Linked DNA regions of Callithrix jacchus. The protein of the gene in region 2 binds, or shares a complex with, the protein of the main gene of each other region. Links are inferred from orthologs where the notes say so. Each region holds a gene or a part of one and is shown on either strand. Other genes may lie near its edges. The genes, in order: HSPB8 and BAG3.

Region 1 (4,600 bases), on a different chromosome or scaffold from region 2:
CCAGACAAGCACCATGATTTTCTCCATTTTACAGACACTCTGCATGTACTTTCATAGGTAGTCTGCACGTGTTTAATCTTTCCTACACTCTTGCAGGACAGGTATTATTGTAATCCCCATTCTGCAGATGGGAAAACTGAGGCTCAGCGGGATGAAAAGAATTTCTTGTCCACATCCACCATGCTAGTGAAGAGCAGTGCTGGGATCTCAACCCAGGTTTCGAAGAGCATCTATTATTCATTATTTATTGGCGCCTTCCTGGGTGCCTGGCACTCTAACAACGACGACAATAATAATACTGAAATGTGAAAGGAAAATAAATCTGGGGCTCCCAAATCACTAAGCTAAAGGGAAAAGTCAGGCTGGGAACTGCTTAGGACCAACCTGCCCCGCCTTCTATTCATAGTCACCCCTCTGCTGGCTGACATAGATGCGTGTCTGATTGCCTCCCTTGGAAAGGCTGATTAGAAACTCAAAAGAATGCAGTCATTTGTCTCTCACCTACCTGTGACCTGGAAGCCCTCTCCCTGCTTCAGGTCTTCCTGTCTTTGCTTCCAGTTGTCCCGCCTTTCCAGACAGAACCAATGTACTTCTTACGTATATCGACTGATATCTCATGTCTCCCTAAAATGTATAAAGTTAAGCTGTGCCCGGACCACCTTGGGCATGTGTCATCGGGACTTCCTGAGGCTGTGTCACAGGCCTGCCCTCGACCTTGGCAAAATAAACTTCCTAAATTAATTGAGATCTGTCTCAGATTTTCCGCGTTCACGGGTACGTACACATTTTACAGCATCACCTCATTTAATACAACAACCTTATGGTGTAACTATTTGAACCCTAATTTCCAGGAGAGAAAGCAAAACAGAAGCACAAAGAAGTGAAGTAATTTGCACATCCTGCTGTTTAGAGTTGGAGCCAACTTGTCGGATCTCGTGCCTGGCTTCCCAGCCAACTCGGAGATCTGGCTGACCCTGTCCGGCAGCACGTGGCCCCAGCGTGTCTCCCGGCCCACCACACCCGCCAGAGCCTCTGATGTTTATAATTCTGCCGTGACTGGCTTGAAACTCCCCCTGAACGCTGCTGGGGCTTGTTCCTGCCCAGCCTTTGTTTGCAGTGGCTTTAATTGATTTTCTGGAAGGCAAGCCTCTGCCGGGAACACAATCTTTGTAATGGAGTATTAATTGTAAATCGGGAGGGAAGGAAAAGAAAGCTTTTTCTGCTGCCCAGCTTAACAGGGGTGAGCTTCCTGTCTTCTCTCTCTTTTTTCCCCCTAGTATGTTTCTTTCTCCCAGGGTGGGATGTGGCAATAATAGCCCTGGCCTAAAGCAGTGGACAGGTACAGTCCCTACTCACGTCCTCTTGCTGACTCATGGCATGACTGTGAGTAAGTCCCACCTAGGCCTCAGCCTCATCACTGCAAGATGGGCCTAGCCACCCCTGCTACTCTGGGCTGGTCTGAGGATGGTTTTGGAGAAGTCTGAGAATTTCAGCCCAGTCCTTGGTATCTCGTAGGTACTCAGTAAATCATCACTTCTTTCTGGCCTCCTAATTCTTAGATAGCCTGGGTCTGAATCCAGCGTTCAGGGGGAGTTTCAAGTTACTTCAATCTCTCTGTGCCTCGGTTTCCTCATCTGCAAAAAAAGAAGATAAACAGGACCCACCTCCTCTGGTTGTTGTATTAGCTGAGATGTTACAGGCAACGGCACTTAGCAAGGTGCTGAACACGTAGTTAGCACTCAAAGTTACCAGTTAGTGTTAAAATTACTGGTAAGCCTCAGTTTCCTTGTCTGGGACAAGGAGAGGTGTTTCACGGGAAGCCAGCTGTGGTTTTGAACACTATCACTGTTCAGCCTAACGTGCACTTCTAGACCCTGTGTTGTGAGGCTGGAATGCACCAAATCCCATTTCTTCTTTGTTTTTTAATTCTTTGATATCTGCTTAATCTATTCTTTCTATTAAATGCTCTCTGTCAAAATATCCAACATGGTTTCACGTTCCTGCCTGTACCCTGATTGATCAGCACCCAAAGGCCCTAATAGCTGAGTCAAGCAGGTTAAGTTCTCTCCAGGGAGCTGGGAGAGGAGCTCTTTTTCATAAAGATAACTTTGCAGGCTGCATTCCTGAGCCCTGAGGTCACCTGGGTCACACTGTCATAGCATCTGCTCTCAGGAAACTTTCTCCTGGCTATTCCCAGGGCTAAGGCCTACACCCCCTCCCCGATCGCCTCTCCATCCTGCCCCCGACTCACCAGACACCTCCACGTATCCATCTTTGGTCTTCACCTTCAACTCCTCCGGCTTGAAGCTGTGCACATTCACACACACTTTCCAGGGCTCCCCAGGGAAGGGTGGGGGGGTCCTGCCCTCGGCAGGCACCCCAAACCTGGCCGTGGCAGTGGGGCCCCGGGGCACCATGCCTGACCTTAGGGTGCCTGGCCAGGCTGAGGAGAGACGAGGCAGAGCCCAGTCGGGCCAAGGGGCCGTCAAGTCATCTGGGAAGGGGTCCATACCAAAGCCATCATCCAGCAGGCGAGAGGAGAGGGGAGAGTCCCGGAAGGGGTCTCGGCGCAGGCGGCTTGGGTAGTGGCAGGAGAAGGGCATCTGACCGTCAGCCATGGTGGCTGCTGAGCTCAGAGGGAAACAGAGGCTCAGAGAGACGGAACCACCTGCCCAAGGTCACACAACAAGGTGTTGTGGCTGGGCTGGCTTATTCTTCAGCTTCCGAAAAGGCTGTTCTTCTGCAGGGAGAAGCAGAGCCAACCGCTGCCAGGGACGGTTGTGCCCCCTCAGCTGGGGTCCCGGCCCCCAAAGATGACCACCAGGCAGGTCCAGCAGAATCCCAGAGGGCCCCTCTCTGCACTGCCTCACGACAGACCAGCAAGCCACTGTCCTTCCAGACCGCCCAGGCTGGCAGCCAGAGCCGCTGAGGTCTAGAGTGGAGCCAGGAACTTAATAAACCCAGGGCACGCGCGCCTAGAAACTTCTTCTGGCCCCTTCTGGGCTGCAAGCCTTCTATTTATTTGCTGCTGGAGGCTGGAGGCGGGTTTTGCAAGCGTCTCCTGTCACAGGAGTATTCGGAGGTGATGAACCAGCCCCAGAGAATCCACAGAAGGAACAGCTGGGCTGGCAGGGAGGGGCTGCGTCCAAGTTCAGCCAGCCTCTCCAGACACTCTCTCCTCCCCTGGCCACTCTGCTCAGCTCCGCCCTCTGCTCGCTCCGGGAGCTGGAGCCGCCCACCGCAAGCAAGGCACAGAGGCTTGGCTATTAATAACCCCGAGCCTGGCTGAGGGCTCAGGTCACCCTCTGGAAATACCTTCCCCAGAGCGTGTTGTATCCTGCCTTTCCCCTGGGGACCTGCAGAAGGGAAAGAGAGAGACAGGAGCTCAGTGGATTTGAAGGATGGCCCTGGGTTGGAATCCCCACTTACAAGGTAGCCAAACTCCTAGAGCCTCAATGCCCTCTGGGGAGAGTGGTGAAGAAAAAGAAGTTTTTAAATATGTATATATACATATATATATTCATGTGACACTTGTTAAAGTATGATAAGAATAGAATGTTTTTAAAAGATAAAAATGTTTTTAAAATGTATATATGTGTATATATATATTTGTATGAACCTTGTTAAGTATGATAAACAAGACTTTACTGGGCAGGGGAACTTCTCCATAAATGCAGGGATCCCAGAAATGGGATTTTGCAGTGAGGGAGAAAGATTGGACTCGACACCCAGTAGGTCATGGGTAAGTGGGAATTTGTATCCAAGAAGCAGGTGGGAGGGTCCGCGAATGAAAAATTACTAGGAGGAAGGTCCAGGGATCAGGGCGATTTGGCTCAACTAACCTAAGAGAATTCTTGCTGAAGACAGGCCAGGGTGCTCAGACATCACCTGGGGGATGGTGGAGGATGAGGAAACTAATCAGATATTGAGGGTGATCAGAAATCGAAGATGGGTGATTGCTGCTAAACAGACTTGGCAGAGTTCATGCCAATACGGAATTTTTATAAAGAACTGCACAGATGGGCTTAGGAGAAGATTCAGGAATCTGATTCATGTTTGGTCAAGCAAAGCATCTTTATCGGCAGTAACATTCTTCCCGGGCATCTCCAAGTTGTCAGTTTTCCTCCTTATAAATGGACATAATAGTAGCCAACTCACAGACCTGCCATGAGGAATACATGAGCTAATTCTCTTCCAGCACCCAGCAGTCTGATGGGCACCTGTGCATTTTCAATTTTGAGTTATCAACTACATAATGTTTGCTATAGGCCGAGCCCTGTTTGATGGACTTTATAAATGTGAACTCATGTAATCCTTACCAGCAATCCTGTGAGGTAAGAGTACCAGTATTATCCCATTTTACAGATGGAAAAACTACCATAGATGTGTTCATGAACAGTATCTTCTATTATTATGACTGTTGATACTGATAATTATCAAAAGGTGTTATACTCAGGCGGGATGTCTGGTCTGAAACTCAAAGCCCCAAATCCAGACTTTCCTGCTCCTCCCATGCAGCTGGAAAAATGAATTCACAAGTCCACCGTTGGCCCGGAGGCCTCTTGGGCTTGGGTTCTAATCTTTGATCTGTCCCCAACAG
Region 2 (4,430 bases):
CCATGCTCACAAGTCTCAAGTCATTGATTTGGTAAAGAGAACTCTCTTCTTTTTTTTTTTTGAGACGGAGTTTCGCTGTGGTTACTCAGGCTGGAGTGCAATGGCGCAATCCCGGCTCACCGCAACCTCCCCCTTCTGGGCTCAAGCAATTCTCCTGCCTCAGCCTCCCGAGTAGCTGGGACTACAGGCACACGCCACCATGCCCAGCTAATTTTTGTATTTTTAGTAGAGACGGGGTTTCACCATGTTGACCAGGATGGTCTTGATCTCTTGACCTCGTGATCCACCCGCCTCGGCCTCCCAAAGTGCTGGGATTATAGGCGTGAGCCACTGCCTCCAGCCCGAGAATTCTCTTCTTGAGTTGATCATGTCCCATCATCAAAATCCAAGCAATCACAGCACAGAGGTCAGTGACCCAATAACTTGGTGGCCAGGAGGGCACAAAGGTAATCAAGTATTTTAGCCTGCATGCTTCACGGTTTCACAAAACATTCACTTCCACCTTCTGAACAGACACACTGCCTCTTATGAGGACTCTCCTGACATCAGTACTCTCCCTGCTATCGGTACTAGCTGGGTGACCTTCAAAAATCACACCTGAACTCTCCAGGTTTTTTCAGAAAATAAAGAAGCCTACCTAAAAGATCTTCAAGGACCTTTCAACTTTAACATTTTCACTGTGAAATTTTCAAATAAACCTTTCCAGCATCAGACTTCTGATTTAGTAGTTCTTACTTTCTATTTGTTGAGAAGAATAATGGTAACTAAACCTGCTTTTTTCCTTTTAAGGTTTAGGAAACCACAGCCTAACCCAGGCACCAGGTGGGTACAGGAAGATCTCAACTTGCTGGGTAAGTTTCATGCTGAGAACAAAGTACTGACAATGTTTACATTCAAACTTAATCTTCACTCATAACAAAGGCTGCCAGCAAATGCTACTGTCCCTATGTCTACAGGAAGAAGCCCTCAAAATAATAGTTGTAAACCACACTAAAGATCATGTACATCCACGCAGACTGCTAAGAAAGGGGGTTTGAAATGAGCGTCAGTTTCACCCAAAAATGGGTTGGACACCCAAAAAGGTATATTTAACTGTGCCCATCCCAGCTAATTACAGCCTCTTATATTAATTTTCAAGAATAAATATACAATTAATCTCTCGTAAATGTAAACTGCTGACTGTACACCATCTCACTGTTGGGAACCAGAGTTTTGTCAATATTGTTAAAACAGAACGTGTATAAAAATGAAGGGAAATAATATGGGTCTTTCTTCTAAAATCATGAGATACAAAGCATTTTTAATTTGCTGAGTTTTTAAATCTTCAAAATAATTTATCACCTCTTTTGCTGCTTCTATCTTGCCCAGACAGCAGTCACAATTACGTTTTAAGTATAACATAATTATTTTTAAAACCTTTTTATTTTGAAAGCTCAAATTTACAGAAAATGGAAAGAATAGTATAAGTATGATTTTTGAAAATTAACAGACTCATTCCAAACTTATGTTTTCAAATTTCATGCTCTTGGGGATTAAAAAGTATATATCCTTGCATATATGTAAATGAGACATACTTCTGCTATATTCACAAGAGTATCATTACTCAGTTATTTGTGTACTGGTAACAAATCCTAAGTATTTTAATACCATAACAAGGCAGGAAGCGAATGCCATTATAAACATACACATTATCGTTCTCTTTCTCTCCAGGGTGAGGCAATGTGGTAATGCAATGGCCAACTGTAAGACAGTCTCCCGTCTAGTTTAGAAACTGCTGGGGAGAAATGCACCCCGTTTTTAATTTTACAAGTGATAATAGGATACATACAGATCCAAAGCACTTTCAAACAATAATACAATTTTAATTTGACACACACACACACACACAGGCATAAATGTTTTGACACCAGCTTCCTGAGTCATTGGGTGCCTCAGATGGGACAGTAGTGAAGACATCCCTCAACCAAGTTAGGGAACTTGAGAGGTAAAAATCCCCCAAAACCACCATCCAAGCTTGTGTCTCCCTCGCGTTCGTGGACAGCGGGGTGCGCCGCGGGTCCCGGGCCCGGAGGCCAAGCGGGCAGCAGGGACTGCGGCCTCCGGAGCCGACCAAGCCGGCTGCCCTCCTCCAAGCTCGGGAGGGCTAGGCCAGCGCCGGACACCCGGCCCTCCGTCCTGGAGTCGAGCCGCGGACGGCACAGGGGCCACTGCGGGGACGGTTCCCGGGCCACCGGATCCCGGGGCCTCCTTTGGCCCGGACGCCTGTCAAGGGCGGGTCGGGAGCAGGGACTCGTCCGGGAGCCGCGGGAATGTGTGGCTGGGCGCGGAGCCGGTGTCCGCCTGAGAGGGGCCTTCGCCGACCCCCGGGCCCCGCTTCTCGCGTCCCACCCGCCCGGCCCCCTTCCCGCCGCCCGCCGTCGAGGTGGCGCCATCGACCAGGGCGGGCCGCGGGCCCGGCTCACCTTGGGGCCCTCGGGGGGCACGCGCGGGTCGTTCCACGTCGTGGTGCGGCTGTTGTGGTCCACGAAGAAGGGCCAGCCGGTCTGCGGGTCGATCTTGATCTCCCAGCCGGGGGGCAGGGGGTCGCGGTCACCGTTGCCGGACGCCACCTGCATCATGGGCGAGTGGGTGGCGGCGCTCATGCTGGGTAGGGGTTGGGGTCGGCCCGGAGCGGGGGCCGCCGGGGCGCGGGTGCGGAACGCGGGCTCCGGGCGCCGAGTCTCTGGCCTGGCCGCCGCCGCGGGCCCCTCTCCGCCGCCGACGTGTCCGGGAAGCCGGCGCCGGGCACCTTTATGAATTAAAGGCGGGGGTGACGTGGCCTGAGAGGGGTGGAAGTGTCTGGAAATAGCCTCCTCGCTGCTAGAGGAGAAGGAGGAGATAAAGGGAGGTAGCAACTGGCCGGCTAGAAACTTCTAGTCCCGTCCAGAGAAGTTGGCCGCGGCCCGGGGTTGGATGCGGAGCTCCGCCCTGAGTCATCGGCTATAATCGCGGCGGGCGGGGGCGGGGCCTCGGCCCTCTCGTTCGTCCCCGACCTCCCCGCCCTCCCCCGCCTCCCTCCGCCCCTCCCCGAGCCTCCTAGTGCGCGTGCCCCGGCCGGAGTGGCCGCGGGCGCGCCTTCGGGGCCTGACTGCGGATGGGACGCCGGACGCACTGAGTTGGGGTCGTCCTCCGTGCGCCCTGGGCGGGTTTCGGCTTTCACACTCCCTCCCTCCCTCTCCTTAGCGCCTAGTGAGTTTTCCCTGGGCCGGAGCCGGTCCTCCCCGTGCCTGCCGCCCCTCCTTTCTGTACAAACAAAGCCATCTCACCCACCCCATCCCCTCCCCCATATATGACAGCCCGGGACACTGAGGGCTGCCTGGGAGGAGCGCGGGGACGCTCATCTGACACTAGCAGGAAGGCAGGGAGAAAATGGAAGTCAGTGCAAACTCACTTGCCTTTCTTTGGAAACTTCAAGGAAAAAAAGATTGTGTCAGCTGATGGTTTTTAGTCTCCCAGACTAAAAAGAAAGTTTCGTTGTAGTAAACAGCTTTACAGAAAAATCACATTCTCTTGGGTTTGGATCTTTTTTATAGTAGAGGTTGGTTCTTGCTATCCTACATCTTGACCCTCATTTGGGAAGTAAAGACCTAACCTAACCGTGACATTTTTTCGCTTGGTTCATTGAATGGAGGTTGCACTTGTAACCTGCCAAAGGAGAAAATGACAACATTTTTAATTTAAAGATCTTTTTGTTTGTTTTTATTTGTTAACTTTTATTGTTAGTTTAAAGATCTTAACTGATTTTGTGATTCTAGAATTGGGCAACACCTCCATTAAATTAGAATAAGTGTTCCTAAAAGCCGAGCAGAAGAGGTTGGTTTTATAGACAGAGAAGGGCTGAAGAAAACAGAAACAAAGAACCAAGGCTGAATTGGTTGTTTTAAAATTACTTTCCTCGTAAGGAGGGGACAGAGAGAATCACAGAAAAATAACGGATGAGGGCTTGGCACTGTGGCTCATGCCTGTAATCCCAGTACTTTGGAAGGCCAAGACTGGAGGACCTCTTGAGTCCAGGGGTTTGACCAGCCTGGACAACACAGTGAGACCTACACCTCTACAAAATAAAAAAATAAGGCAGGTGCAGTGGCTTATGCCTGTAGTCTCAGCTACTCAGGAGGCTGAGGTGGGAGGCTCACTTGAGACCAGGAGTTTGAAGCTGCCATGGGCTATGATTGTGCTCCTGATGCCAGCCTAAGCGACAGAGCAGGACCCTGTCTCTTAAAAAGAGAGAGAGAGAGGGAGAGAGAGAGAGAGAAATGATTGGTTAACATCAGGTTACATACTTCAGATTACTGTACAATTGACCCTTAACATGGGTTTGAACTGAGCAAGTCCACTTGTACATGGATTTTCTTTTTTTTTGAGACAGAGTTTCGCTCTTGTCACCCAGG

The links.
Region 1: BAG3 (region 2) and HSPB8 share a complex: the UniProt entries of both Homo sapiens proteins name them as parts of the chaperone-assisted selective autophagy (CASA) complex. The link is inferred for Callithrix jacchus from reciprocal best matches to the Homo sapiens genes BAG3 and HSPB8.

The regions. Positions count from the first base shown.
Region 1 is NC_133510.1:122,284,819-122,289,418, reverse strand, and holds the start of HSPB8 (heat shock protein beta-8), read right to left. Parts: upstream 2,995-4,600; 5' UTR 2,619-2,994; coding exon 2,252-2,618; intron 1-2,251. UniProt on the Homo sapiens protein: Involved in the chaperone-assisted selective autophagy (CASA), a crucial process for protein quality control, particularly in mechanical strained cells and tissues such as muscle. Displays temperature-dependent chaperone activity.
Region 2 is NC_133513.1:113,172,015-113,176,444, forward strand, and holds the start of BAG3 (BAG family molecular chaperone regulator 3), read right to left. Parts: upstream 2,957-4,430; 5' UTR 2,643-2,956; coding exon 2,463-2,642; intron 2,391-2,462; exon of another isoform or gene 1-2,390. UniProt on the Homo sapiens protein: Co-chaperone and adapter protein that connects different classes of molecular chaperones including heat shock proteins 70 (HSP70s), e.g. HSPA1A/HSP70 or HSPA8/HSC70, and small heat shock proteins (sHSPs), e.g. HSPB8.